Linked DNA regions of Canis lupus familiaris. The protein of the gene in region 1 interacts with the protein of each later gene in a pairwise test. Links are inferred from orthologs where the notes say so. Each region holds a gene or a part of one and is shown on either strand. Other genes may lie near its edges.

What was found.
Region 2: the proteins of SEC22A (region 1) and TMEM79 interact in binary tests that used the Homo sapiens proteins (3 or more experiments, as listed by UniProt). The two-hybrid records come from large-scale screens. The link is inferred for Canis lupus familiaris from reciprocal best matches to the Homo sapiens genes SEC22A and TMEM79.
Region 3: the proteins of SEC22A (region 1) and STX4 interact in binary tests that used the Homo sapiens proteins (3 or more experiments, as listed by UniProt). The two-hybrid records come from large-scale screens. The link is inferred for Canis lupus familiaris from reciprocal best matches to the Homo sapiens genes SEC22A and STX4.
Region 4: the proteins of SEC22A (region 1) and SFTPC interact in binary tests that used the Homo sapiens proteins (3 or more experiments, as listed by UniProt). The two-hybrid records come from large-scale screens. The link is inferred for Canis lupus familiaris from reciprocal best matches to the Homo sapiens genes SEC22A and SFTPC.
Region 5: the proteins of SEC22A (region 1) and EDA interact in binary tests that used the Homo sapiens proteins (3 or more experiments, as listed by UniProt). The two-hybrid records come from large-scale screens. The link is inferred for Canis lupus familiaris from reciprocal best matches to the Homo sapiens genes SEC22A and EDA.
Region 6: the proteins of SEC22A (region 1) and FATE1 interact in binary tests that used the Homo sapiens proteins (3 or more experiments, as listed by UniProt). The two-hybrid records come from large-scale screens. The link is inferred for Canis lupus familiaris from reciprocal best matches to the Homo sapiens genes SEC22A and FATE1.
Region 7: the proteins of SEC22A (region 1) and ERLIN1 interact in binary tests that used the Homo sapiens proteins (3 or more experiments, as listed by UniProt). The two-hybrid records come from large-scale screens. The link is inferred for Canis lupus familiaris from reciprocal best matches to the Homo sapiens genes SEC22A and ERLIN1.

What each region holds. Positions count from the first base shown.
Region 1 is NC_049254.1:26,897,105-26,901,349, reverse strand, and holds the start of SEC22A (vesicle-trafficking protein SEC22a), read right to left. Parts: upstream 2,801-4,245; 5' UTR 2,696-2,800; intron 2,626-2,695; exon of another isoform or gene 2,500-2,625; intron 2,221-2,499; exon of another isoform or gene 1,878-2,220; 5' UTR 1,758-1,877; coding exon 1,744-1,757; intron 1-1,743. UniProt on the Homo sapiens protein: May be involved in vesicle transport between the ER and the Golgi complex.
Region 2 is NC_049228.1:41,578,400-41,582,550, reverse strand, and holds the start of TMEM79 (transmembrane protein 79), read left to right. Parts: upstream 1-1,351; 5' UTR 1,352-1,670; exon of another isoform or gene 1,671-2,219; 5' UTR 2,220-2,301; intron 2,302-2,586; exon of another isoform or gene 2,587-2,590; 5' UTR 2,591-2,704; intron 2,705-3,503; 5' UTR 3,504-3,546; coding exon 3,547-4,151. Other genes in the region: protein SMG5, read right to left, coding at 1,034-1,107.
Region 3 is NC_049227.1:17,346,011-17,348,885, forward strand, and holds the end of STX4 (syntaxin-4), read right to left. Parts: intron 2,710-2,875; coding exon 2,601-2,709; intron 2,529-2,600; coding exon 2,452-2,528; intron 2,216-2,451; coding exon 2,078-2,215; intron 1,158-2,077; coding exon 1,047-1,157; intron 955-1,046; coding exon 874-954; 3' UTR 856-873; intron 761-855; 3' UTR 501-760; downstream 1-500. UniProt on the Homo sapiens protein: Plasma membrane t-SNARE that mediates docking of transport vesicles. Necessary for the translocation of SLC2A4 from intracellular vesicles to the plasma membrane.
Region 4 is NC_049246.1:35,255,085-35,259,062, forward strand, and holds SFTPC (pulmonary surfactant-associated protein C), read right to left. Parts: upstream 2,801-3,978; 5' UTR 2,712-2,800; coding exon 2,643-2,711; intron 1,943-2,642; coding exon 1,784-1,942; intron 1,428-1,783; coding exon 1,305-1,427; intron 1,052-1,304; coding exon 941-1,051; intron 584-940; coding exon 443-583; 3' UTR 433-442; intron 258-432; 3' UTR 50-257; downstream 1-49. UniProt on the Homo sapiens protein: Pulmonary surfactant associated proteins promote alveolar stability by lowering the surface tension at the air-liquid interface in the peripheral air spaces.
Region 5 is NC_049260.1:54,265,629-54,269,889, reverse strand, and holds the start of EDA (ectodysplasin-A), read right to left. Parts: upstream 2,801-4,261; 5' UTR 2,578-2,800; coding exon 2,194-2,577; intron 1-2,193. UniProt on the Homo sapiens protein: Cytokine which is involved in epithelial-mesenchymal signaling during morphogenesis of ectodermal organs. Functions as a ligand activating the DEATH-domain containing receptors EDAR and EDA2R. May also play a role in cell adhesion.
Region 6 is NC_049260.1:120,980,271-120,984,403, reverse strand, and holds the start of FATE1 (fetal and adult testis-expressed transcript protein), read right to left. Parts: upstream 2,801-4,133; 5' UTR 2,706-2,800; coding exon 2,600-2,705; intron 1,577-2,599; coding exon 1,449-1,576; intron 1-1,448. UniProt on the Homo sapiens protein: Involved in the regulation of endoplasmic reticulum (ER)-mitochondria coupling. Negatively regulates the ER-mitochondria distance and Ca(2+) transfer from ER to mitochondria possibly implicating it in the regulation of apoptosis.
Region 7 is NC_049249.1:13,112,007-13,115,283, forward strand, and holds the end of ERLIN1 (erlin-1), read right to left. Parts: intron 2,799-3,277; coding exon 2,577-2,798; 3' UTR 501-2,576; downstream 1-500. UniProt on the Homo sapiens protein: Component of the ERLIN1/ERLIN2 complex which mediates the endoplasmic reticulum-associated degradation (ERAD) of inositol 1,4,5-trisphosphate receptors (IP3Rs).

The DNA.
Region 1 (4,245 bases):
AGCAAGATTGAGAGAAAAGGGAAGGTCTCTGTACAGCCGCAGGTTAACATAAAGACACTTGAAAAACAGAGCTTGAAGAGGAAAAGGGGAAAGCGTACCAAAGACAATCAGAATTTATTTTACAGTTTTGCCTACCCACCCCCACACCTTACCAGCAGCCTTCAGTACTCCTATTACAGGTGCCTGTACTACACAGTACATCTAGCCTCAGGCTCCAGAGTAGATTATACCCACAACGAGGAACAGGGCCCCCAACACAGGCACAAATGTGTCAATCCCTAACAGTTGTGCAGCACCTTACAGTTTACAAACAGTGAGTGAGATAATACCTCTATTTGACAGATGAGGAAATTGAAGGTCCCTTTCTCAATGTCACACTGCAAATATATAGCCAAACTGGTGCTTATACCTAAGTTTTCTGTGTCTCCAAATCGTTGTCAGTCTCCTAAAACCCACAAGGGGCAAGAACCCAGTGATTGAAGCTATCTAGCCACAAATTTTGGAATAATAAAAGACCACCTTATATTTTCCTTAAGACCACCTTATATTTTCCATAATAGTTAACATGATGGACTCTGGAACAGGTGTCTGGGTTCAAAAACTGGCTCCACCATGTGTTAACTGTAAACGTGAGCAAGTTTTGACTTTCTACACTCAAGTTGCCTCACCTGTAAATTGTGGTCACTACTAGTGTGTATCTCATAGGATTGTTTGAAAGCTACTAATAGTATCTACCTGATAGGGATACATAAAGAACCTGAAACATCACCCTGTAGGACTAAAAGTAGAATATTATTATTATTTAATAATTAACTGCTCTCTATTTACCAGGCACTTTATACACTACCTCATTTAGGCCTTCTGATAACCTGTGAGATGGGTATTATCAGTTTTGTTTTACCTTTGAGGAAATTCAAGCTCAGAAAAGAATTTAGGGAATCCCTGGGTGGCGCAGCGGTTTAGCGCCTGCCTTTGGCCCAGGGCGCGATCCTGGAGACCCAGGATCGAATCCCACGTCGGGCTCCCGGTGCATGGAGCCTGCTTCTCCCTCTGCCTGTGTCTCTGCCTCTCTCTCTCTCTCTCTGTGACTATCATAAATAAATAAAAATTTAAAAAGAAAAGAATTTAGGCAAGTCCAACGTTTGTAAGTGACAGACTTCCATACAGGCTGAACTCTAACCAAACAGTGAACCCAACCAAACACTGCCTCACGACACAGCCAAGCTTCCTACTCAAGTATATGGAAAGTCAGAGCCAAGTCTTTGATAAGACCTGTGCTTCTTTTAAACATCGTTATAGGGCAGCCCGGGGGGGGGCTCAGTGGTTTAGCGCCTGCCTTCAGCCCGGGGCCTGATCCTCGAGTCTCGGGATCGAATCCCACGTCGGGCTTCCTGCATGAAGCCTGCTTCTCCCTCTGCTTGTGTCTCTGCCCTTCTCTCTGTATCTCTCGTGAATAAATAAAATCTTTAAAAAATAAACATCAACATAAAATATGCGTAGATTTTTAAAAATCAATTCATTCACATACACACACACAAATCACTAAACTGTTACCACGGTTTTCAACACAGGAAATGCCCAGGCGCCCCATTAATTTAGGGCATGGCCACATACGTTGGATTCAAGTGCTCAACTACAACCTTCAACACCGGAAAGCATAGGTACTGTTTCCAGTACTGCCCAACTCCTTATAATCTCTCAGCACGTGAGCAAATTCAGAGTTTAGAAAAGTGGATGCTCCACCTGTTAGCTGGCATCACAACATCTCGCGTCTGGTGGCTGACGCTCTAGCCCTGGGCTCTGCCTTGGCTGTCTAGGCATAGGAGGGGCTGCTTCTCAAGCTCTCCAACTTGCCCCCAAGCGGACGATCCAGGAAACTAAGGCAGAGAAAAAGTCCAAAGCTGTTTTTGCGGGCAGAGAGATTCAAGTCCCTGGGGCTCCTATTTCCGAGCCCCTCTTCCACCTGCCCAGCCAAGCGCTCAGGTCTCCTTGTAAGGCCACATCTCTCCCAAAGTTGCCAGGGGCAGGCAGGGCAGGCGTTTCTCTTGGGCCAACGACGGCCGATCTCTGGGCTCAATGCAAATTAAATCCCCACAGGACGCGAAGTAAGCTGCTGGTTCAAATCCCACCCTAGCCTTTAAAAAGCAGTAAACGCCAGGTCGAGCTCTCTGGGCCACCTAAGTAGCCTCGAGGGATTACCGTGTTTCTAACAACTGGGGGCCACGCCCACCGGCCACGCCCCGCCCACCGCCACGCCCCCTCTCGGCCACAACACGCGTTGCCCCGCCCACCGCCCCGCCCCCCGGACTGCGCCACGCCGGTTGCCCCGCCCACAGCCCCGCCCCCTCGGCCCCCGCCCCGCCCCCCGCCGCCGCGGGGCGCCCACAGCGACTCTCCCTCCCGGAGCGCCCTGCCTGGGTCAGCCCCGGGGCAGCCGCCGCTCGCGGCTTCGCCCACAGCCCCCTCCCGTCGCAGGGGACGAAGCCCCCGGCATCGCACCTCTCCACCTCTCCCGAGCGCCGCGGCTCCAACCACCCGGCTCCCGCCCCCACGGCACGCGCTGGGTCCCCGCCCGGGGGGAAGGTCTGTGGCCGCGAAGGCCGCGGCGGCAGGCAGTCAGAGCCAGGGGCCGCCTGCCGGGGTCCCAGCGACCCTCGGAGCGGAGGACCGAGCGCCGGGACCGCCCGGGTCGTACCTGTCGAGCCGGGACCCGCCGCTCCGAGTGACGCGGCCCGCAGTGCATTGTGGGGCCGGGGAGGGGCCTTCCTGCGGGGCGGCCCCGCGTCCGACGTGGCTGGCGCCCGACGGGACCAGGCCCCGCCCCCGGCCCCTCGCCTAGGCCAATCAGCTTCTGCGGGGAGGCCACGCTGACCCGCCCCCTCCTGGGGGCCCGGAGTCGCCCCGCCCCCTTCCCGAAAAGACTGACAGCTCTTCACGCACCTGCGCCGAGAGGTTGCAAAGCGCTCAGCTGACGGCTAATGCTGTCTCACGAATAAAGCTCATCCGTCCTGCTGCCGCCTCTATCTAGAGGCAGTTTGTCTCTCACGCGGCCCTACAGCAAACACTTATCCAAGGAGCAGGGGGGAAACTAAGAAAAAAAAAAGGGATTTGTCCCATCTATCACCTCGCAAGAGGAAGCACCTAACCTCGGCAGAGAAATGCCAGATGCAGACCCTGCAGCCCCTTCCAACTTTTGCATGCGCCATACATTATTAAATAAGCACTTAATGACTGTGGACCACGTGCAAAGCACGGTGTCAGGCACCGGGTTACAGGAATGAACGTAACACTGGAGGGAATCTAAAGTGCAACGAGAGCGAGAGACGTTAAAGCAAAACGCATTACATAATTATAAATTGCAATCAGTACTATGAAGGAAAATTAGTAGGTGTGATGATGGATTAATTCTGGACTATCAGGGAAGAGTGTTTGAAGAAGCGCCTTTTAAGTATCAGGCATATGAAAGAGCCTTAAAGAATGGTTCAAGCCAAGAGAACATTAAAATCGTTAGGTTGTTGGGGCATGAAAGAACTTGGGGTGTTCTAGGAACTGAAAGGAAGTCAGTGTGGTTGAGATGTAGGGAGCAAGCTTCGGCTGAGATGAGACAGAGGCCAGACCGAGCAGGCTCTTACTGGCCACATAATGGCTTTTAGACTGTATTTTGGAATGTATCCTAAGGTTAATGGGCAGCTAATAGGGAACGTTAAACGGGATCTGATTTACATATTTAAAAGCTCACTCAGGCTATTTGTGGGAAATAGTATGGAAGAGGGCAAGTGGGGTTGCTGAAAGGCCAGGTGGGAGGTGGTTACATTAGTCAAAGCAGAGATGACAGTGGCTTGAACTAGGATAATGGCAGTAGAGACAGTGAGAGTTGGATAATTTCAAGACGTGTATGAATGAGAGGTGGAATCCAAGGGACTTAATAATGGATTGGTTTTCTGGGAAGAGTAAAGAAAAGAGGAGCATTAAGAATGACTCCTTAAGGGACGCCTGCATGGCTCAGCAGTTGAGCATCTGCCTTCGGCTCAGGGTGTGATCCTGGAGTCCCTGGATCGGGTCCCACATTGGGCCCCCTGCAGGGAGCCTGCTTCTCCCTCTGCCTATGTCTCTGCCTCTCTCTCTATGTCTTTCATGAATGAATAAATAAAATCTTAAAAAAAAAAAGAAAGAAAGAAAGAATGACTCCTTAAGTAACTAGATGGATTAAGAAGCCATTTACTGATTCGGGGAACATTAAAAGAG
Region 2 (4,151 bases), on another chromosome or scaffold:
TAGGCGCCCAGGGGCTGCTGGATTGGATCACTTTTCTATTTTTGGAAGAGCCTATACTCCCCTCTGCCTCTTACTTACAAAGGCCAAGCCGGCAGGATGCCTACTCCAGGGAGGAAAAGACAACATGCTCTTGACTCTTTCACTACCAAAATGGGGCCCACTGCTCTGAGGGCTCTGTTCTACAGAGCCTGAGCTAAATGAAAAACTCAAACCTACCAGTTACTGGAAAGCAGCAACCTCAGCTTGGTCTCATGCTTCACCCCACTCTGCCCCAGTTCCAGAGCCCACGGTCCAGGAGCCCCGCATAAAAAATCCTCCAACCCCGGTGAGAGAGCGCATAGGGGCCTCAAGATGAGGGGTGAAGACAGGACTGCAGGACAGTGAGTGGTGCTGCGGAAACCAGAAACCAGGAATGGAAGCTGCCTGGCCAGGGACTGCAGTAGTCATGAGGCTGTGAGGAGGCAGGGCTCAAGAGCGGGAGTGCTCAGGTGCCCTGAAATAGGCGCCCATGACCTAGGGAACGCTCCGGGCTCAATGCCCTTCGTGGCCCTTCCAGGCCAACACGACTCGTCTTCAGCCTCTCTTTTCATTCGAATTCCCCAAAACTGGAGCCAGAGAGACTTCAGAGCGTATCCAGCCGAAGCCTGACCCCTCCAGGATGCGGAGAGCGAGGCCCAAGGTCACATGGAGCGCTCGGCTCTCCGGGCTGTAATCCGGGGCGCTCCCCTCTGGGACCTGGGGGATTCGGAGCGCCTCTCCCTTCCAGGTTCTCCCCGCCGGCGACCGCATCCTCACCTCCGCGGCCTGCAGAGCTCGGGGCCCGCCTCAGGCTCCCGGCCAAGGCCCTCCTCCACGTGCGCCCCCCGCCGCCCGGCCGCCCTCGGCCCTCGGCCCCGGCCCGCCACCGCGCGGACCCCGCTCGCCGCCCGGCCGCGCCCTCCCGCTCCCACCGCACCCCGTCCCCGCCCGCCGCGGTCCCGCCCCCGCGGCGCCCACTTCCCCCGGCGGCCGCACGCACGCCCCGGCCACTCACCGGTAAAGCCGCTTGGTATGGAGGACCTTCGCCTCGGGCTCGCTGCTCTCCCCTGGGGGGGGGCCTTGGCTCATGGTGCCCGGGTCCGGGGCGGCTCCCGGTCACAGGCCCCCGCCGCCCGCCGCTACCGCCACCACTGTCGTGTCCGGCCAGAGCCGGAGCCGCAGCCGCTGCCGGCCCTGCTCGGCCGCCATCGCTGTGAGGCGGCTGCCTGCGACAGCTCCTCCTCCGCCCGCCAAATCTCGCGATAGCAGCTGCCCAGCTGCGAGTCGGTGGCCTGAAGGTTACCAAATCTCGCGAAGCTCGTTTTCCCTCCGGGAAGTTGCCAGAACTAACTCTGGGCAACGCAGCCTCCTTCCGGTTTTTCCACGTCCTTGCGAAAAACTTTATTGACAAAGCTGCCGTGGGACGGACAGTGGGGCCGAATCTGTGCTGGGTGGCTGCCGATGGGCTCGAAGCCCGGAGCGAGGCTTTTTGCTCTGTCCTGCAGTGGCCATTTGACCATCCTTCCAACCCTTCCCAGCCCCCCACTGGAGCCGCATCTCTTTCAGATGACTGCTGATTCCCCTTCTTCCTTTTCCCCATCACTTGAACAACGTGAATGTGCAGGTTTCCTTGGAAAATGTGGGACACAAGAGTAAGGCTCTCCCGAGACGTGACCCTTGCAGGGCGCCGCGGCCCTGGGCTCCCGCGGCTGGATTTCACTTGGTGTCTCTGGTCAGCCCAGCAAAATTCATGGAACACCTGCTGCCCCCTGGCCACAAGCCAGGGCTCTGGAGATGCAGGGACCAGCAATCCAGACACTGTCCCGCCCTCACAAAGCTCAGGTGGCTTCTGGGGTGAGGTCCCACAGGGATGAGCAGCCACTCTCACATTTCTGCTTGAAAAGTCGCTCTGAATTCTTACAGCTTTCTTAACCCTGAACCTGGCTACAAAGCAAGGTGTTTCGTGGTCTGTGTAAGCTGTAATAGGAACACGAGTTCTTTCCCACCCCTGTCTCCTGGTTCCAGCCACCAGCCTTTCTTCTGTTCCTGAAATTGCCTGAGCTGGTCATTCCCCTGTTCTCTCCTCGAGACACTCCTCCTTTCCCATCAGGTCACAGCCCAAATGTCATCTTGGCAAAGAGGTTTTTCTTCACTCGAATTGTCTTCTTGATTAAGGTCTTTATCATCTGTTACCCCAATAGAACAAGCTCTTTGAAGACAGAGACCTCACCTGTCATCTTCTCTCCTGTGTCTGTGCCTAAAAGAGCGCTTAGCTGAAAACAGGTGCTCAACAAATATTGCATGGATAAATGTAGAAATTCCACCTCTTTTCTGGGTATCCCAACCTATTCCAAACACCCTTTGACGTACAGACCCACTCTTTATCCTCTGCTTTCCTGAACTTCAAGTTCCCACACATCCCATGTGCCTGGAACTCACACTGACCTTTATGCCCAGCTGCACCCCCACTTTCAGAAAGCAGGATATCCTCCACCAGGGCTTTTCTGTCGGCAGATTCAGCAGGGCGGGGCCTGCCCCTTTAATCTGGGCCCCACCTGCTCTGGTCAGACAGGTTTGGAGACACTGGTAGAGGGAGAGAGACTGAGAGGAATAGTTGCGGAGCCAGCAGAGGACCCAGGCAGCTCCTTTCCAGACGTTGGGGACCCTCCGCCTCTCCAGATGGAAAGTAAGAGGGTGTCATGGGTCCACGTGGCAAGGGATAGAAGGCCCTAGAGGAGGTGGAGAGACGGGACTCAGCCCCTTCCAGCAGCACTGCGATGGAGGAAACAGGGAGGGGAGAAAGACAAGAGAGGAGGCATGGGAACAGCCATAATTAGACCTAGACATCAGAATGGACAGCCCCAGGCCCTCTGGAGATGGAGGATGAAAGACAGGGGCTAAGGAAGAGTGTGGAGACTGCCCAGGTACACAACTTGGAGACAGAAGAGCAGGACGCACTACTGCTGCTAATTCCTTGGGACTTATTTGTTGGCAGATCCCTGGTATCAGTTACCAGGAGAGTTCCAAGCAGGAATCTACAAGGAGAAGGGGAGGTTTGAAGGTGAAGGAGCAGCTTCTCCATCCACAGGGAGGCCCCTAGTGGGAAGGAAGCTCCTGGCAAAGCTCTAGAAACCCACTCTTCCTCCTGTTTCCGCACTAGGGTGGCTATGACCCCAGGGATTTGGGTGGAGGGGTTAGGAAGAGTGGGTGGACTGGCCGGGGCCACAGCTGCCAGCGCCTGTGCCCCCTGACTCACCCTCTCCTGCTGGATGGCCTTTGATGGTGAAAAGGTGTCTCCATTATGGCTGCTCACTTCCCTCCCATCTCCTGTGTCAACACCTTCCTCTGTACCATGTTCACCCTAAGGTCCCAGAAGGGGCTAATGCCCATGAGACCAGCTGCCCGGAACCATTCCAATTCTATCAACCTGTCCCAAGGGCCAGAAGCCAGGAACTTCTAACAGAGCTTTCCTCCACTCCCTCCAGGGTGATATGACCTTATGGTAGACACCAGAACTGAGGCCCCAGCATGACAGAACCCGAAACCCTGGCCCTGCTGCAAGTGAAGGGGTCTGAGGCTGTGGAGAAGAGCCTGCCCCAGGCCCTGGTCCCCAATGGCCAGCAGCCGGAAGAGGAAGGTGGGGCTGAGTCCCACAGAGCTGAGTCCTCCGAGATGGGGTCTCCAGCTAGATCTCCTGTGGCTGGAGAGGGGGCTGAGGATGGTCTCAACAGCACAGTGAGTGAGGCTGCCACCTTGCCATGGGGGACCGGCCCCCAGCCCAGCGCCCCATTCCCAGACCCCCCAGGCTGGCGGGACATCGAGCCAGAGCCACTCCGGTCGGAGCCACCCACCAAGCTAGAGGAGCTGTGCGAAGATGATGCCAACTTGCTGCCCGAGAAGGTGGCCCGGGCCTTTGTACCCATCGACCTGCAGTGCATCGAGCGGCGGCCCCAGGAGGACTCAGCTGTGCACTGTGAGGCGGGCGAGGGCGAGCGCAGACGGGCCTGCCTGTCCTCCCGGGCTGCTCAGCCTGAGCCCCGCGAGCGCAAGTGGGCTGAGGCCGTGGTGAAGCCGCCTGGCCGCTCCTGCAGGGGCTGCAGGGGCTGCGGGGGCCGGGAGGGGCTGAGAGCCGT
Region 3 (2,875 bases), on another chromosome or scaffold:
TGCCTTTTTCTGGGCTCTGCCCTGCAGCCTCTCCCCCTGCTTCTTCTCATAACTGGCTCCTCCTCATTTAACAGCCCACTGAAATGTCACCCTTTCTGAGACAGGACTTTCCCTGTTCACTGTATCTGGAGTAACAGCCTCCATTACTCAACGGTGCCTCGTGGCCTCAGGAAGGCCGATGGATGCCCACACACACCTCACCTATGTCCCAGCCTACCAGGCCCAGCTTCACTGCTTTGGGGTTAGGTACTCACAGTAATCCTTCCCCAAGGACAATACTGAGCCAGATGTGGGTGTTAGCCCCTCCCTGCCCACCTGTTCCTAAGGGAGAGTAGAAGGGCAGTGCTAGCCTGCTGTGGTCACAGCACCTGAACAGTCTGATCTGAGTCTTCCTCGGATGGGCCTGGCCCCAAAGATGGCCACGGAAAGAGGAGGCCGCCTACGTAGAGGCCCTGGGCCAGCTCTTCTAGGAACATACATGCACGGGGCAGTCTCCAAGCTCATTTTTCTGTTTGTCTTTTTTTACTTTCTTACAAAACCATGTGTCCCAGCCAAACAGGACGCTGCAGGCCTTCCCCCAGGCATTGTGGCCTGAGTGGAGAAGCCCCCATGAATGAGTGGCTGCCAACCCCAGAAGAACTGTCTGCCCCTCTGCACAGGGCCAGTGTGAGGAAGGGGGTCCAGTTGGAGGCTCTGTCCTGCCCTCCCCCCTCAGCTGCTGGGAGAGAAGGCGGACCCGGGTCCCCGGTGTTCTTAGAGCCTGTAAGGGAAGGAGGGAGAAGAGGGTCTGAGGGGAGGAGGAAAGGCAGGGGCCCAGGACGAGGCAGGCCAGGGGGCAGGCCCACAATAGCTCACCAAGAATGTGCAATGCTCTCAAACCAATGTGGCGATACCAATGATGACTGCCAGAATGACGACAGTGACAGACACACAAATGGCGATCAAGACTTTCTTCTGTGGGAGAGTTCAGGGAAACAAACTCAGAAGGGGAGGGAAGGCAACCAGGGCCTCAGACTAGAGGGGAGGGAAGGGGTGTCAAGGCTCACCTTCCGAGCCTTCTTCTGGTTCTCCAGGGCAATCTTGACATGTTCCTGCCCGCGTTCCACATAGTCTGCTGAGCTCAGGATGTTCTTCTCAATCCGGTTGATCATCTCCCCCTGCTCAGAGGAGGGGGACAGTTCAGGCAGGTAGGGATGACTGGGGGTGGAGAGCCCATCAGCTCCTCTGCTTGCTCACACTAGCTGCCTAAAGGACATTTTCTGGCAGGAAATGCAGCACTAACAAAGGTGTGGGGGTAGGACCACATCTGACCAAAGTGCACACTCCTGAGGGTGGCTTCCAGGATCCCTTTTATTATGTAGTCCCTTCTGCCCTGCTCCCTTACCCCCTACAACCTTCATTTGCAGTGGTGGCTTGGAGCCAAGCGCCTTAAGAAGCTCATACCTTGTCACAGAGGGTGAACTTCTGTCTCTTTGTAAATCTGTCTGAATTTGCTCATTCTTCTAGGCTTGCCTCTCAACAGCTGTGAAGCCCTCCCCAACCCTGCCTCCTCATGGCACTGCCAGCCTTCAGGTCCTGGTACTCCTACTGAATGAAATGCCTTCCCCATGAATCCCAGCTGCACAAGGGCATTGGCTGCAGCACTAGAGGCCGGCAGCTTACCTCACCTCACACAACGGGGGCAGCAGAAGAACACCACCTCCCACCCCAACCTCATTCAGATCTGTGGAGGCATGCCCCCTAAGGAGCATCTTTGAGTAGAACTCTTAGAGGTATAAGGGTGGATTCTATTGGTGGAGGAGGAGCCAGAGTTGGGCTACATCCTGGGTAGCTCAACTGGGAGACAGGGTAAGATGGTGAGTGTAGAGGAGTGGCCATCTGTGTAATGTGGAGGTGGAAGCAATTCTGGGGCTCAGCTACAGATGGGAGTGAGGGCCAGCCTGGGGGCATGGCCCAGCCTGGAGGGGGATGAAAGCCTCGGGGAGAGAGGCTAGAGAGTGGAGATGGACTGACAGACACAGTGGGGTTTCTGACTGAACACGGTCTCACATCAAGCCCAGCCAGCTGTCTTGCCCACCTGCATCTCCACTTCTGTAGCCAGGAAAGTGAAAATCTCATGAAGTTCACGGATGCTGCGTTCAAGCTGCTGTATCTCACTGTGCCGGGCTGAGATCTCATTTAGGGCCTGTCGAGTCACCTGCGTGTCCTTCAGGATCTGGGGAGCAGATAGGAATGGCCAGACAGGTCACAGGGAATCCAGCAGCAGATCAGAAGTTCCTGTTGAGCTTTCAGGCAGCCCTCAGGCTTAGAACTGGGGCCAGGACCTTGATGAGCGACCCTAGGCATGCTAAGTCATTCCCTTCCAGGCCTCTGTATTCCCTCAATCAAAGGGGACCAGGCCTCAGCGAAGATGAGAGTCCCAGAAGAGGGAGGCTAGCCATGACCACTCACATTGGATACAAACACCTCGCTTTGCCCACTGTCCAGCATCTGCTCCAGCTCCTCATCAGACACCATTCCAGCATTTGCTGTGAAGGAAAAGGTCAGGCTCAGAGCTGGGTCAGGTTACCTGACCCTGTAGGCCAGACACCACAACTCACTGATCTTCAGCTGCCTCCGAATCCGCTCCACATTCTTCTCCCGGTACTCGGACTGCATCAAGTTGCACTTGTTGATGAGCTCCACGAATTGCTGGGACAGGACCCCATGCTGATGATAGAAAATATAGGCTGGGCACCCCGGAAGGATTTGGCCTTAACATCCCCATAAGTATAGGGAGCAAACAGCATAAGCTGTTCTAGGAGCCTGCTGCCTTGACCACCATTCTCTCAAGGTCAAAGCCAAAGCCTTTACTAGGGCTTATAAGGCCCTATTG
Region 4 (3,978 bases), on another chromosome or scaffold:
CGAGGGCGGGACCGAGGGCGAGGGCCTGGAGGATGGAAGAGCCGCACCCTTTATTTTTCAATCAGGTTGCTTTATTCTTTCGTGGTCGGAGCCCCGTGTGCCCAGGAGCCGCAGCTCCTGCCCGCTCCCACCTCTCCCCACAGCTCCCATTTCGCCAGCGCTGGTCCCCGTGGTGTGGGCAGGAGCAGCTTCCCGCGTCTCTGCCAAAGACCCTTTGAGCGTGGATCTTCCCTCCTCACCTGGGGCCTCCGTGGGTCCTGAGGAGCAAAGAAACACAGTTTATCAGGTGAGGGGGAGGGGCCGGGGGACAGGGAAGTGTATGACCCTTCCCTCCCCAGAGCTCCCTAGATGATCTGGCTTAGTGGGTTCCCCAGTTCCGGGTCAGCTGACATGGCAAGGTGGGGCAGTCCTGCCCAGGTCACACCTGCTCACCTGAGGGGTCCTAGATGTAGAAGAGGGGCACCTCACCACACAGGGTGCTCACTGTGGTGCCCAGGAAGTCCAGAGGATCCCCAGGGGATGCTGAGCCAGCATCATGGCCCTCCTCCTGTCCCAGCTTAGAGGTAGACACGGCTGGCTTGACCTAGAAAGAGCACCTGATTTGGAGCCTGGGAACGGAGTTTCTGTCTCACCTGTGGTCCTTACGGTGGGACCTTGGGCGTGTCAGGCCATCTCTCTGGGCCTTATAAAAGTCTTGCTTTCTTCACCAGTAAAGAGGGGCTGTGCTGGAGTCAGAAGCCCCCAGGTGGTGAGGTTCAGCTGAGGCCAGCAGGCTGGCACAGGTAGGGAAGGGGTGGTACAGGTGAGTCTAGAGAGGGCACTCACCTGGCAGCCCACAGGGAGCAGCGCTTTACAGGTGACAAATTGCTGTCCTCCTCAGATGCTCCTCCCGGCAGCCCTGGGAAGGGGACGACCCACCTCTTCTCACTCACACACCTACCTGGAAGTCCTGAAACTTTCTAGTGAGAGCCTCAAGACTTGGGATGTTCTCTGGAGTCATCTTCATGATGTAGCAACAGGTTCCCGGGGCTGGCTTATAGGCAATCAGGAGCTGAGTACACGAACCCCAGAGTTCATTCAGGAAGGACCCGCCTTGCTCACTCCCTAACCCTGAGCCTGGGCCATCTTCCTCTGGGCTAGGCACCCGGGAGAGTCATATTGGAATCTGGGGCTCAGCCTGGGGAGGCAAAGGGACTAGGAACCGGGGAGAGATGGGTGTGCATGAAGTGACACAGCTCTGTGGGTCCAGCAAAGGCTTGTCATTGGCCCCCGTCCCCAGGGTTGAGAGGTCCAGGTGTACCCACCCGCTGGTAGTCATACACTACGATGCCAGTGGAGCCAATGGAGAAGGTGGCAGTGGTGCCCACACGCTCCTGCAGGGCCAGGCGCTGCTGGGCTTCTGGCCCCCCCATGCTCATCTCTAGGACCTGGAGGAAGTCATAGGGTGGTGGCCTGGTATTTCTCTTTCCCCACACATCCCTTCGGTGCCTACCTCCACCCTCAGCCCTCTTTACTAAAATGCAATCCCGTCTTCTCTGAGAGCTCAGACAGGCTGGGTGGGACAGGATGCTGGAAGGAACAGGCGGCCATGCCAGCCACAAGCCTGGTGGAAAAGCCCAAGCCCCGGTTGCTACCTGGCTCCTGCTTCTGTCCTTTCTCAAGGCACCCCCTGCCTCCTCCTCTCCATTCCCATCAAACACTTCCCTATCTGCCAAGCCCACCCCAAGCCCCTCTGTTTCACAGGTTCTGTACCCACAGCCCACTCCATTCTAGGCCTGCTCACCATCTCAGTGTGTTTCTGGCTCATGTGAAGACCCATTAGCAGAGCGCCGACAATCACCACGACCACAAGGACTATCACTACTACGATGATGAGCAGGCGTTTGAGGGACGAAGGGAAGCAGGGGATGCCCAACCGGCCCCGGGGAGCTGCTGAGTAGTCCTGACATGGTGGGGCAGGCAGGGAAACAGGTATGAGGTCGTGAGGATGGTCCCTCCTCTCCCTGCACAAGCGGGGCACCCTCCCACAGCTGGACACCAATGCTATGGATGTGCAAAGGAGGGCTGAGAACAGAGAAGGCTTCTTGGAGGAGGTGGCCTGGATTCCACCAGAAATGCTTAGACGTGTAGTCTAGCGTGGAGAGACCCAAGGGAGCCTGCCTCACCAGACTCGTCTCTTGCTGTTTCCTCTGGACCCCTGGCACCCCGGCCATTCCCATCCCTTTCTATTCCCCCAAATAATCTGTGCTCTCTCACACCTCCCTGCCTTTACACACGCTACCCCTTCTTCCTGCCAATGCTTGCCTCCTCCACCTAGTGAGCTCCTACCTATTCTTCTGGAGCCAGCTCAAATGTCATTTTCTCTGTGAAGCTTCCTGTGACTTCCCACACGGCAGCTGCTTACTCGGTGCTCTCTGCAGCCCTTTGCACTGACCACTGTTGTGCCTCTCGGCCCCCCATGTTGGAATGATTGGTTGCCATGTCCATCTCCCCAAGGGACTTAGTGGTTGGTGTCCCTGCCCTAACTTAGCACAGTCCTAGGTTAATTAAGTAGATGAAGTTGGATGAAGAAACAGGCTGAGGGGGGTTGGATGAGGCAAAGCCCAGCTCACTGACATATACACACACACAGTCATACTCACCGGCGGGCTCTCGATCAAGACCTCCTTGCTGCCCACATCCATCTTGCTGCAGGCACCTTCCCCTCTCATCTCCCAAATGGGACCTAGGCTCTTATATACGCCGGTAGGGAGAGGGGACAGAAGTGAAGGACCCAGTCTCCTTCTGCCAGCCAAGCCCTTGACTTTGAAACCTGTTTGTTCCTGGCCCTCCAGAACTGAGGTCCTGATAAGCCAGCTCAAGAGCGCCTGAGGACCCTCGGCCCTGGCACATGAGTCCACTTGGCCTCGGTGAGAGCAAAGCTGGGTGCACTGAGCAAATTTGCCCTTGGGCAATCTGCACCTCTCTCCGTAGGTGTCTTCCTGGCATTGGCCGCCTTTCTTGCTGGCACCTGCCCCTGCAGTTTTGTGGCTTTCCCTGTTCTTCTGCCAGGTTGAACCTCTCAGGCAGTCAGGGGTCTGACCCAATGTGGAGTCCAGCACACTTCCCGACAGAATTTTCCCTGTGTCTAGGATGAGCTCCAGGGAGAGGAGTGAGGAGGCAGTGCCTGCAAGCCCAGGGGGGCACAGCTGAAGGCAGGTGGTGCTTTGGCATCAGTGTGGGGGTTCATCATGGCCATTTCTTGAAGAGCCTCACATTTTCACTTCCAGTATGCCACCTGCCTGGCCTCCTCCCACACATCTGCTACCTAACCTCAGACTTGCCTCAGTCATTCTTTTCCTGATCCTGAAGACTCTGTCCCCTCTGGCTATAGGTTTTTATCTACCAATATGTGGTTTTTCATTCTCTGCTATGGGCTGGTTTGTAAGCTAAAGGCCTTTCCCCCTGCTTTTACTTTTATTTGCATCCATTTCATGCTGAATTTATTCCCAGGCCATACATTGCTGTTTCTCCAGCTTCTTGTGGGATATCTTTCTCATCTATGCAACCTCCTCTTCCGGTTTGGGAACGATCTGCTCTGTTTCAGTAAGGATCATCTTGATGTGGCAAGGAGGGCTTTTGCAGGGGTTAATCTGACCACAAGCTCTGTAAATTTAGTGGCTCGTTTTGGGGCTTTGTTCACCTGAATGTGCCCGATGACCAGGGAATCTACATCTAAACCCTTAGGTTTAGCATTACTCTACATCTTTAAGCCCATGCAGCAAAAATTCAGCACTGTTTATAGGCCACTGACACCATGCCCTGCCCCACTGTTTGGCCTGGGCCCACCTATCGGCCCCACCATGATGATGATGGAATGGCACACATTGCTTCTGTAAAGGGACATCCTTCAGATACTTGATGGCTTTGGGGATAGACATAGCCTTGGTGACCTGGGCAGCTTCATGAGTGTTCTTAAAATGAATGTGAAGATTTGAA
Region 5 (4,261 bases), on another chromosome or scaffold:
GGGTGGGGAGAGTGGGTATAGTAAAACTAATATTCTCAAGAGAAACATAATTTGAATCTGGGCTAAAATTCCTTGAAAGTGTACTTCAATTCTCCTGAAAGTAACAGTGAGGAAGAGTAAAGATACATGTTAAACTTAGTCTGGCCAAAATACAGGTAGAATAAAAGAAATTGACGCAAACCTGAGCCCTGTACATTGTAAGAATTGTACTACGGAGCTCCATCCCACTTTCTCCCAAAAGTTCCAGGAGTTGCCTGCTATAGGGGAACAAATGAACTTTCTTGAACTGGGAGTCAAGAGGCCAACTTCCTATCTACCCTTGACCATAGCTGTAAATGACCTTGGATAAATCATTCCCCTCCCTCAGGACCTATGTGCTATCCAAGGAGATCAAACAAAATGGACTCATATGGCCCCTTACAATTGTAAAAGTGTCTGACTCCAATTGATGCCAGCAAATCTAAAGAGCCAGTTTGCTTGTCGTGACTGCTCAAAAAAGATTAAAACAGAAGTAAAGGACAGAAAATGAGGAGCTGTATGTAAATCTAGACAGAACTATTTGAAGTGCCATGCAAACAATAGGCAACTAAATGCCACTGTAGACCAGTGAGAGCCCCATACCACCACAGAAGAGTGCAGCTGTCCTGCTATAATCCTTAGTCTATAAACATAGGTCTGTCCATCCTAAATACTGAAAAGGGTTGGCTACCATTTGACTAAGGAAGTTCAATTACTTCATCTTTTCACAGAATATCAATGTTCAGCTGTTAAGTATTTCTACTGGGCACTGTGGGGGTGGGGGTGGATAGATAAAGGGAGCCAGAATCCTAGTTAATTATCATTTAGCTACAGTGTTTAAAGTTTCAAGTATGAGAAGCATGTCTACTGATTCTCTTCTTTGATAAGCTGTTATATAAGTATGTTGGAGTGTGCTAGCAAGACATTTTTAGGCTCAGGGTAATTTTACAATGCACAATGTAGAATATATGTCAGTCCCAACATTACAGTTTCGTCATGAATGTGATGCCAGCTTTGGATGGGTAGTCAAAGAGCAGAAATGATGTTTACAGAGTATGACAATGACTCTGAATGTGGTAGTAAATATAGAAATCCGGGGTCCCTCATTTCAAGAAACTTATTGGCACAACTTGCCCTCTTCCCCAAAAGGAACAAATTCACTATTATTCTCTAACCACCTCAAAAAGATTCTCTTACACTTGCCTCTTTTAAATTTCACGACAAAATAGGGCAGTTAAGAGAATACGTATTTTAAGTGCACTAAAGTTAGTTGAATAAAGAGCTGAAAAAGTGGAAGACAATCACCAAAGCTAATAGTTTGCCAACTATAAAGACTGCAAAACAAAACAAAAACTGCTCTTGAAAGATTACTCTTGAGTAATTCATTATACCATCAGTGGATTCTTTTTCTGGAACTAGCAGTAGTGAAGAGACTTCACACTTACCCTATTCACACCCCCACCCCCAAGAGTCAGAACCGGCATGCAAAGGGTGAGTTTTATTTTCATAGATTTTTTAAATTGCTGTTCAAAAGTTGTCTAGCAAGACGGCATACTTCTACCAGAATTCCACCGGGGCGCTGATCCTCACTAGAACACTGAGGACAATCAGTCTCAAATTGCAGGTAAGTGTGACCAAGCCCACGTTGTGGTCAGCGTACAAGGACCCGCGCTAAATATACGATTAAAAGTTGTTTCAACTGTGGAGCAGTTACTACAGCCGTTTACCGCTCCAACTCCAAAGGAGAGCCTGCTTGTGCTGGCATCAGCTCTGGACACGAAAAAACAAGCACCGCGGGCAGAGAATCTCACCAGGAGTAGAAGGGCTAAGCTGCTGCCGTTAGTCCTCCGGAGGGGCAGCGTCCGCACCTCCGCGGCCGGGAGAGCCGCCAACTTTCCCCAAGGCAGCTGGTAGCCGGGGGCGGCGGGCGCCTGCCAGGGTTCCCAAGTCCAGGGGTCCTGAGAGAGTCTGGGGGAACTAGACCAGGACCGAGGGCAACCTGCCCCGGGGCAACCTCTCCCCGGCTCGCCTGCCTCCTCCCCGGTCCGGCCCTGCAACTTGGCTGGAGGTGGCAGAGTCCTCCCCAGGGCCCTGTGGGGGAGGGCTCCCGCCCTGCCCACAAGGGAAGGGGGCCTCCGCCGCCGCCACCGCCACCGCCCCTACTAGGTGACTCACCTGGTGCCCGTCCCGGGAGTGTGGGGGGAGTGCGGTTTCTTCTGCTTCCAGCGGCTGCTGCTGAGGTGATGGCTGCCCGGAGTCGCGAGTGATGGGACCGTCAGGGTCGAGGCCACCGGGGCTGTTCAGGGTGCCAGGGGTGCCGGGGCCAAGGCGGGACTCGGCTCCCCGTTCCCGCCGCAACTCGGAGCGCAACTCTAGGTAGCAGCACAACGTCAGCAGGTGGAGGGCCAGCGAGAGGCCAAAGAAACCCAGGAAGAGTCGGCAGCTGTTCCCTTCACCCGCCTGGGCAGGGGCCCCGCGACAGCCGCAGCCCTGGCTCCCCCGCTCCCGCGGCGCTGCTGTGGGCAGAGGTTCCCGGCGCTCTACCTCTGGGTAGCCCATGGCCTCCGGAGACACCCACTCTCTGAGGCCCTGGAGCCGCCGCGTCTGCCTCAGCCGTTCAGGACCCCTGACAGGCAGCTACTGCCCTGCCATCGGTTAGGGGCTGCAGGGACCCGTTCCAAAGCAACGGAGGCTGGGCGGAACGGAGCAGGGAGCTGCCGCATGTGCAGCTCCACTCTGAGGGGTGGGAAAGGGAGGAGGAGGCACGGGGGAGAGGGGCGGCTCGGCCTGAGGGGAGAATGAAGGAGGTGGCCCAAGCCGACCCCGCCCCATCCCCCGGGCGGCTGCCCGAACGCCCAACCACCGGCCGGCCAGCCCTTGGCGCTCCGCCCCCTGCCATTCCACCCTGGGCCTCCAGCCACTGGGCGGGGCCTGGGGGCGTGGGGGTTCGCCTCTGCCTGACTGCCCCACCCAGTTCTTCCCGCTTGCGCCTGTTCCAGTTGGTGACCGCCGCTGTCGTTCATGCCTGGACTCCGCCCCAATTTAACCCCCTACCGTCCAAACCGGCAGGAGGAGGGAAGAAGGGGGAGGCCGAGAATTTGGGAACCTTGGAAAGAAAGTGGAGCAAAGAAAAGGAGGCAGAACCTAGAATTAATAGAAATGTTTGCAATTAACTGCAGTTGTTAATAACATCATCCAGCACTTATCTGTTGCTTTCAATCTTCAAAGCGTTTAACAGACGTTAAACTAATTAAAACAGTTCTTGGTTTGGAATGAAACCATGCCTGCAGTGTTTGCAATCCTGTGGCGCGCCAAAGGAAAAAGGAAACCCAGGAGCCTGGGAGCCAAAGGGAGTGAGATTGGGGTGGAAATGAGGCAGCCCCACTCCTGGAGTGAGTCTCGAGCCTCAATCTAAGTGGCCGAAAAGTGCAGGTAAGCCAGGTGGAGCTGAGGTGATGTTGCCCCATGCAGGTTCAAACAGTCTCCTGAGATTTCTTGATCTATTAATTAATTCAACAAATATGTGTGGGTCCCTTTACAATGCAGAAAGTGCTGTATGAGATAATCCACAGCCAGAGGAGTTTCTCGCCTGCCTCTGCAACCAGTTTTCAGCAGAGAATATGTGCCTTCAATGAATAAATGGGGATATTGAGGGCCAGGTGAGGTGCATTTTTACAAGGGTGGTCCACAGAACCGGCCAGGCAATATTGGCATCTCTGTTTGTAGGCAACTGTTCTGGCCTCTCCACCTCTCCCCTCCCCTCCTCTCCCTGGAGTAGTCCCTGGGGGAAGTTCAACAAGTCAGCCAACTGTTCCAGATGTACACTGCTGCAACTGCAGCATCTTCCACAGCTGAACCAATGAGAAAAAGTTTCAGAGCAAAAACCAAAAAAAAATAAAAAGACAAATGTCAGAACAATAGACCCTGAAATGAAGTATGGAAAGGATTAGTTGAGTCACAATCAACAAGAGTTACTAGTCTGAGATTATAGAGAGCTAAATGACCATAGCAGGGGAAATATGTGTGCTTCTTGGTCACTATGTACTCCTATTCCCATGCTATAAATAATTAGCAGTTTAATTGACTTGTCAAGGGTAGGCCTGAGACCTAGGCTGATGGGAAAGAAGAAGAATAGGGAGATATAGAAAAGAAACTGTGAAGCAAAAGCAAAACATGCACTGGAAAGGTCAGTCCAAAAAGCACAGGAGTCATAAACCTTACATATATTAGCCACAGCCAACTT
Region 6 (4,133 bases), on another chromosome or scaffold:
TTCTAAAGCTTTCCCTCCCTCACAGTGAAAGTGTGGAACAGATTGGATACAGAACTTGAAACTCAGATGACTCCCTTCAACAGTCAGGTCCCTCTCCTCTCCAACTGGGTTCTCTTTTTCCAGCAACTTTTGCAACAGTATAGCAACCATGTTTCCAAAGCTTCTTCTCACTTAGCAGTGAATGTAACCTAAAGGATTGGCTACACAGTGAGAGATCTCACGGGATTCCCTAGAACACTCAGGTCTCCCTCCTCTCCAAAATGACCACCTTTTCCCAGTATCCTTTGTAACAGTGTACCTGCCAGTTTTCCAGAGCTTTTCTTAACCCACATTAAAGGTACTTTAAAGGATTGGCTACATAATGGTCAGATTCAATTGATTGGATTTCCTAACAGCCAGGGAACATAGGAACCTAACTTGTCTTAATCTTTTTCCAGACTTGAGAATCATATTGTTTTATGTATGTATATTTCTATTTAATAGCGTAGATGAGGTCCATCTACAGTATCAAGGATTACTAATGTCTTTTACTTAAAGTCCACAGAGTGTAGATGCTAACTAAAATTCCAAAATGATGGGGATCCCTGGGTGGCTCAGCGGTTTAGTGCCTGCCTTTGGCCCAGGGCGCGATCCTGGAGTTCCGGGATCAAGTCCGGCGTCGGGCTCCCGGTGCATGGAGCTGCTTCTCCCTCCTCCTGTGTCTCTGCCTCTCTCTTTCTCTCTCTATCATAAATAAATAAATAAATCTTTAAAAAAATAAAAATAAAAATAAAATAAAATAAATTCCAAAATGCCTTCATGGCAACACCTAGACTAGTGTTTGATGGAATAACTGGGAACTACAGGCTACCCAACAAACAGGTAAACTTGACCCTCATAGTGATCTAATCATTAGGGAAGCTGAGGGAGAATTTGGACTTAGACCAGAGACTGTAGGACCTGTATGGGGACAGTGGGGCCTCCAATGGCTACAGACAGATTCTTTCTTTCCTATCCTTCCTTCCTTTTATTCATCAATGATTCTCATGATTCCAGGCTGATTATTTAGTTGATAATTAAATAATTTATATAGTTATAATTTATATAGATAATATAGATAATATAGATATGGAAGGAAATATACATATAGAATTATTTATTTATAAAGGAAAGTGTCATTTCACACACAATAGAGTTTTGCAAAATAAAGTGTATATGTAGTCCCCAAGGAATATGTGAATCCGGTGTTCTGGAAACCCAAGGTTGAGCTCCCAGCCTACCAAAGGATGGCCCTGACCTCTCAAAGGACATCCCTGCCTTCATTGCCTCACTGGTACACAAAAGCTTTTTCCTTTGGCCCCAAGTCAACATCTGGCTCTGCTCAACCTACCGTCATGAAGCTGGAGCCCCTTTAGTCTGTTGTCCCAACCCCAGCCTAGCCACTGCATGCCAAGGACTCCATACAGTACCGCTTTCTTGCTCCGGTTGCCAGTCATATTCCAACCCGATTGACCTGCAGCAGAGCCAGCAGCCTTTGGATCCGCCTTCTGTCGCCGCTGAGAAGCACCCACAGACTGGGATCCATGCTCCATCATTTCTAGGCAAAAGAAGAGAGGCCCCAGAAACACCCATAGAGGCTATACCAAGGCTTCCTGGACACAGGACACACCAGAAAGAGGATAAGGTACCCAAACTTCTTAGGAGTCATTCAATATTCATTCACTGTTGTCCCCTGGCAGATCCCAAGCCTCAGTCTGTTCATTTGTTTAAAAGTTTAGTAAGTATTTCTTGAGGGCCAAACTCTGGGCTAGGTTACTGGAGGGAGAGCAATGACCAAGACACAAGATCTCAGCAATCTAGTAATCAACTGTCTATGTGTGCTTAGCTGAAGTGAGGGGTGCAAAATGGGTATAATCTATCAGTGTTAACTCAGATCAAGAGATACATGCTCCCAAAATGATAAGAACAGGGCAACATGGTGGAAGGAAGGGCTACTTCTAGAAAAGCCAGAAACACCTGTGAGGCAGAGACCTGAAAGACAAAAATGATGGCAGCCATGGAAAATCTAGGAAAACAGCATCCCAGGCAGAGGTAGCAGTCAACACAAAGGCTATCAGGAAGAATCAGCCTTCGGGTCTTATGAGGACAAGTATAAATGCAGTGTGCTGTGGGTCATCATACCACAGCATGAAATATATTGAGGAGGTGGCATTGGCTGGCTCTTGTAGATCAAGGAAAGGAGTTTGGATTTTACTCTAAAGGAGGAAAAGGCATTAAAAAGGAGAGAGAATTGGTCTGAATGATCTTATAAATTGAGCGCTCTGGATACTTTGCCATAAACACAGTGGTAGCTTGGACAGGGGGAGATAAGGACCACACATGTGGATCCCATCCTACTCTCTCACAGGCTTCAAAATGCTCACATCATCAATACCTTTCCCCCCCAGCTTCCTGTTCATCAAGGCACAAATACAGGTATACGCACACCAAGGCACAGACACACACATAGCCACACATACTTGCATATATATGACTCTTCCCAGCCATGAACACACCTTCTCCAACACATGTGACTGGGTGCAGACACCCAAAGGAAAGGGACATTACAGGGGCTCCTCACCTGCTATCACCAGGTGCTCCTGGCTTTTCCCATAGTTTCCAGGAACCAGCTCTTCAGCGATGGATGTTTCCATCTCCTCCTTGATAGTAGGGGGGCCTCCTGCCATCACAGCTAGCGCTTAGCTATTAAGCTATAGCCAGGATACACAGGAAGCCGGGCACAGAGCAGACTCTTGGAAAGTCTGCTCTTCCAGGGGCAGGAGCTCGAGGAAGATATATCTGGCCATGGGGGTGGAGCCACACTCTCCCACAGGACTCAGGCCTTGGACCCAGCACCTTGTGTTCCTGTTGTATCTTATTGGCTTGGTTCACAGTCTTCTCCCCTGCTACTCTGTAAGCAACTTAGGAGGAGGAGTTTCTGATACTTATCTCAGAAACTTTGCCTGTGAGAACTACCCTGGCTCTCGGGTCACATGATTTGGCCCCATTGAGGGGCCAGTGGGATCTACTCTCCATCATTTCTAAAGAGAGGTAGATACTGGCACAGGACCCCAAAGCCAGTCAGTAGCCAGAACAGGGTTAGATCCCAAACTTGTTGTGGCTTCTGCAAGCCCAGCTCTGGCAAGTATTTCAGGCCACAGCTCCCCTCAGGAGGCATCCTCTACAGAGCACATCTTGTTTCCCCCCAATGTAGAGTTCCCAGGGGAGATGGCCTTTTAATGCCTTGGGTCAGTCTGAGCAGGAACCATGAGAATCTAAGGAGGGAAGGGCAGGAAAGAAGGGATCTACCTGTAGCCACTGGAGGGCCCACTGTCCCCAGGCAGGCCCTGCAGTCCCTGGTCTAAGTCCAAATTCTCTCTCAGCTTCCCTAATGATTAGACCACTGTGAGGGTCAAGTTTATCTGTTCGTTGGGTAGCCTATAGTTCCCAGTTATTCCATCAAACACTAGTCTAGGTGTTGCTATGAAGTTATTTTGGAGCTTTGGTTGACATTTGCACTCTGTGGACTTTAAGTAAAAGACATTACTAATCCTTGATAATGTGGATAGGCCTCATTTAATGAGTTGAAAGGCCTGAAGAGCAAAGACTGAGGTTTTCCAGCGAAGAAGAAATTTTGCTCAAGAATGCAACATCGGGAAACAAAAGCAAACAAAAACTCCTGGGACTAAATCAGAATACAAAGCTTTGGCACAGTAAAGGAACCTGTCAACAAAACAGAAAGGCAACCTAGTGAATGGGAAAAGATATGGGCAAATGATGTATCTGAGAAGGGGTTAAAATGCAAAATATATAAAGAACTGATACAACTGTCAGCACTAGAAAAACAAAAAAATCCAATTTAAGAAGGGGCAGAGGACCTGAATAGACTTATTTCCAAAGAAGACATACAGATGGCCAACAGACATGTGAAAAGATGCTCAGCATCACTCATCATCAGGGAAATGCAAATCAAAACCACCATGAGGTATCACCTCACCCCTGTGAGAATGGCTAAAATCAACAATACAAGAAACAAGTGTTGGTGAGGACATGGAAAAAAAAAGGAACCCTCACGCACGGTTGGTGGGAATGCAAATTGGTGCAGCCACTATGGA
Region 7 (3,277 bases), on another chromosome or scaffold:
AAACCCTGATACCCAACATCACTGTGAAACTGTTCCCCAGGAAGGAAAGGTTGAGAGCTTAGGAAGAGCAGGTCCAGCCCTGGCTCTTGGACTAACATCTGAATTAGTGAAGTTAGTTACATCATACCACTGCCAGTTATAATTTGTACAATTTGTCCTTCCTCTACCTCAGTAAAACCACCATTTCCCTTCTTTACTTCTTAGACTCTGAAGGGCACAATGCTCCAGGCTCCCTCTTTCCTCCTCTGATGCTGGCCACATCCCACCAAGAAACACAACATTCCTTGTTAAATTCTGTGAGTTAGGAAGAGTGGAAACCCTGCTTTCAAAATTCTTATACTCGGGAAGCAGTATTCTGAGAAGAGTATAAGAAAAGCCTTTGCAGTTGAGTTAAACTAGTAAATAAACTGGCTACCTAGATGAAATGGGCAAGACAGTCTTAGCAACGTGTTAAATCAACAGAAAAGAATGGAGACATAGGAAAAAAAAATACAAATCACTGATAGTAAAATAATTTTATTTGGTTTCTTTTTTTTAAAAAAAGGTAGCATTTCACATATAAATTTAGACTTCAAGATTACAGTGTATATTTGCCAAAAGGAACATCCCTGCAGGAGGGATAGACTTAGAGCCTGAGCGAGCACTGGGAAGCACACTCCATGGAGAGTTTAAGTGGAAGTAGTTTCTTTACAATTTCACAACATTAGTTCCCTGTTCCTCAACTCTGTCACCAGGGGGCTTGTAAGAAAACCCACATCCATCATTTTGGGGCAACAGCTTTTAGCTCATGGGAATAGGAAACATCTCTAGGAATGAAAGCACAAAGGTCAATTGACCCAAATTTCCCACAACAATCATTATCTACCTGCAGCAACGATACCATGACAGGTGATGAGTTTATTCTTATAGTTCAAAGGTTCTTTAAAGGAGGACTAGAAAACGTAAGATCCATTCATAAAGAGAGTGTATACAATAGGCAAAAATAAAAAAAGGATTCTCTCCATATTACAAATGCCTCTCTAGTGTAAGGCCCAGGGAAAAGACCCACTCATGTCTGGGATACCTTCCCCAGAAAGTGTTTGGCACAACCTGCAAACTGTCATGAGGCTGACAGGACTGACAGCGGAAAGGTTTCTGGAAGTGGTCCCATGACTTTTCTCTCTGGCTTGAACATCGTATACATGAAAAGTGTCTTAACAAGCTGCACAAACTCAGGCCTAACTATGCAGCACACTGTTTCGGGAAAGGTAATCCAAAGGGAATAAAGGCCCAGATGAAACAGGTCTCCCATTGCCACAGGCCAACTCATAACTCACTCTGTCATCCTCTCACAGGAGACTAAATCCCCTGGCTGCCCAGGAAGTCAGTGGAATCCTGATTTCCTAGGGAGGATGAAAGGTGGAGAACAACTTTGATTTCAGTATCTCAGAGCCAGGAAAAAAAAAAGAGAGAGAGAGAGAGACAAAGATGACCAAAGATGCTAAGTTACTCTGTTCCACACTATGTAGGCTCCAGAAGGACAAATTGAGGAGAATCGGTGTGCCAGTAACCATGGCAGCCCTAGGACTAGCCTTTAGGCAGAGGTACTGAGGCAAATAAATGTACCCCAAATCCAGTTTTAAAAATGAAAACTTCCTGCAGTTATGATACAATACTATACAGTGAACAGCTGGGGACTGTATGCTGCTCGCAGTTCTGATTAAAGCCCTGCCCCACTCTTGGCCAGCCAGAGCTGAGAGGTGACTTATAAGGAGTCTATAGCTAAAAACCAGGCACCTTAGTTATGAATGGCCTTGGGGCAGTGATGCAGTCATCATCCAATGGAGGGGAATGCAGGGCCCCAGAGCTTTGGTTCAAAGCAAAGGTTTCATCTCACCCAGAACTTCAAGCCAAGCTCTATCTCTGAGCCTACTAATGCAATAACTAGTGATTAGGAATCCCTGGTTGGGTGGCAAGGTACATATCCCAGCAGGCCACCAACTCGACTATAGGAAAACAAAAAGGTGCAAATAGTATCAAGTAAATAGTTGCTCAAGTGGAAGATCATTTCCTGGAGAACCTCAGCAGACTAGATGCTAATCACACAGATGAACACTGGGACTGGGCCCCAAAGAGAGAGCCTGGGCCCCAGGTGTAATCGATCTTCTTTACACTTACCACATCCTGGCCATCTTCTCTGGCCTCCTATGTCTTGAATGGCTGAGCACACATCTCCCCGGGGACCAATGTAAACATTATTCAATAGATCTCAGCTTAGAAAAACACAGCTTGTTATTTTCTTAATGTCTAACATTCCAGTGCAGGCAGTATCTTAGCATCAGACTTTTCCTCATTCATGAGTACCAGTTCAGAAAGGAACACACACAGGATACTTGATAAAACTGTAGCTGAAAAGACATTTGGGTGCCAGACACCTGGCTCTATCTTCCAATCAGCTGATAAACCAGGGCTACCACAGGAGAGGCAGAACAGACGGAGCACAGGTTCTCTGTGAATCTGAAGAGTCGTATAACTATTGTTCCCACTTTACCCCTTGGGCCACATTTTGATATGGGAGTACATTTCCACCACTTGCATCAACCTGTGCTCTCCTTGTTTTGGATGGGGCTCTCTCCTGAGGGTTCAAGAGCCTCCTTAGAGAGGAGAGAGCTTTTTCTTCCAGTCCTAACATCTGAATATTTCGAAGCACAAGAGGAGTCCATGAACATGCTAGGGATGTTGCTGCCAAAGTAGATCTTACTGTTAGAAGCAATGGCCTGGTACCTTTTGAGCTCCAGATATTCCGGGGTCAATTTGTGCTGTGTGGGAGCAAACAAGAGCAAAGGCATCAGGACGCTTCTGTCCAACAGTCATCTCTCTCTTTTCTCACAAATGTTTTTCCTACTGCTTTTCTGAATATCACTACTCAATGCTGAATCACTGCCAATGACCTCCTCTCAGTTTGAAGCATGGCTATCACATTAACAGCTATATTTTAGACTTGAAGTTCCTTAAACAAGCTCCTGTCCTTCATTTTTTAATAAAGAAATGATTGAGGAGGTGGGTTCCTGGGAACAAGGATAATAACTAAGATTTCCATAGTGACTTGGACCTTGCAAAATAATTTTGTATATACTTTCTTATTTCATCTAGCTGAGTTCAACCTGGAAATCAGTCTGGAATCTCGGCAGGTTCTCTTTTAAGAGGTAAATAGGTCAAAGGATGAGAGTAGCAGAGCTTCAAAGGAGCTGGGTTCATAACCTTATAATCAACCATCTGTGATTCTGCTTTTCTTGAC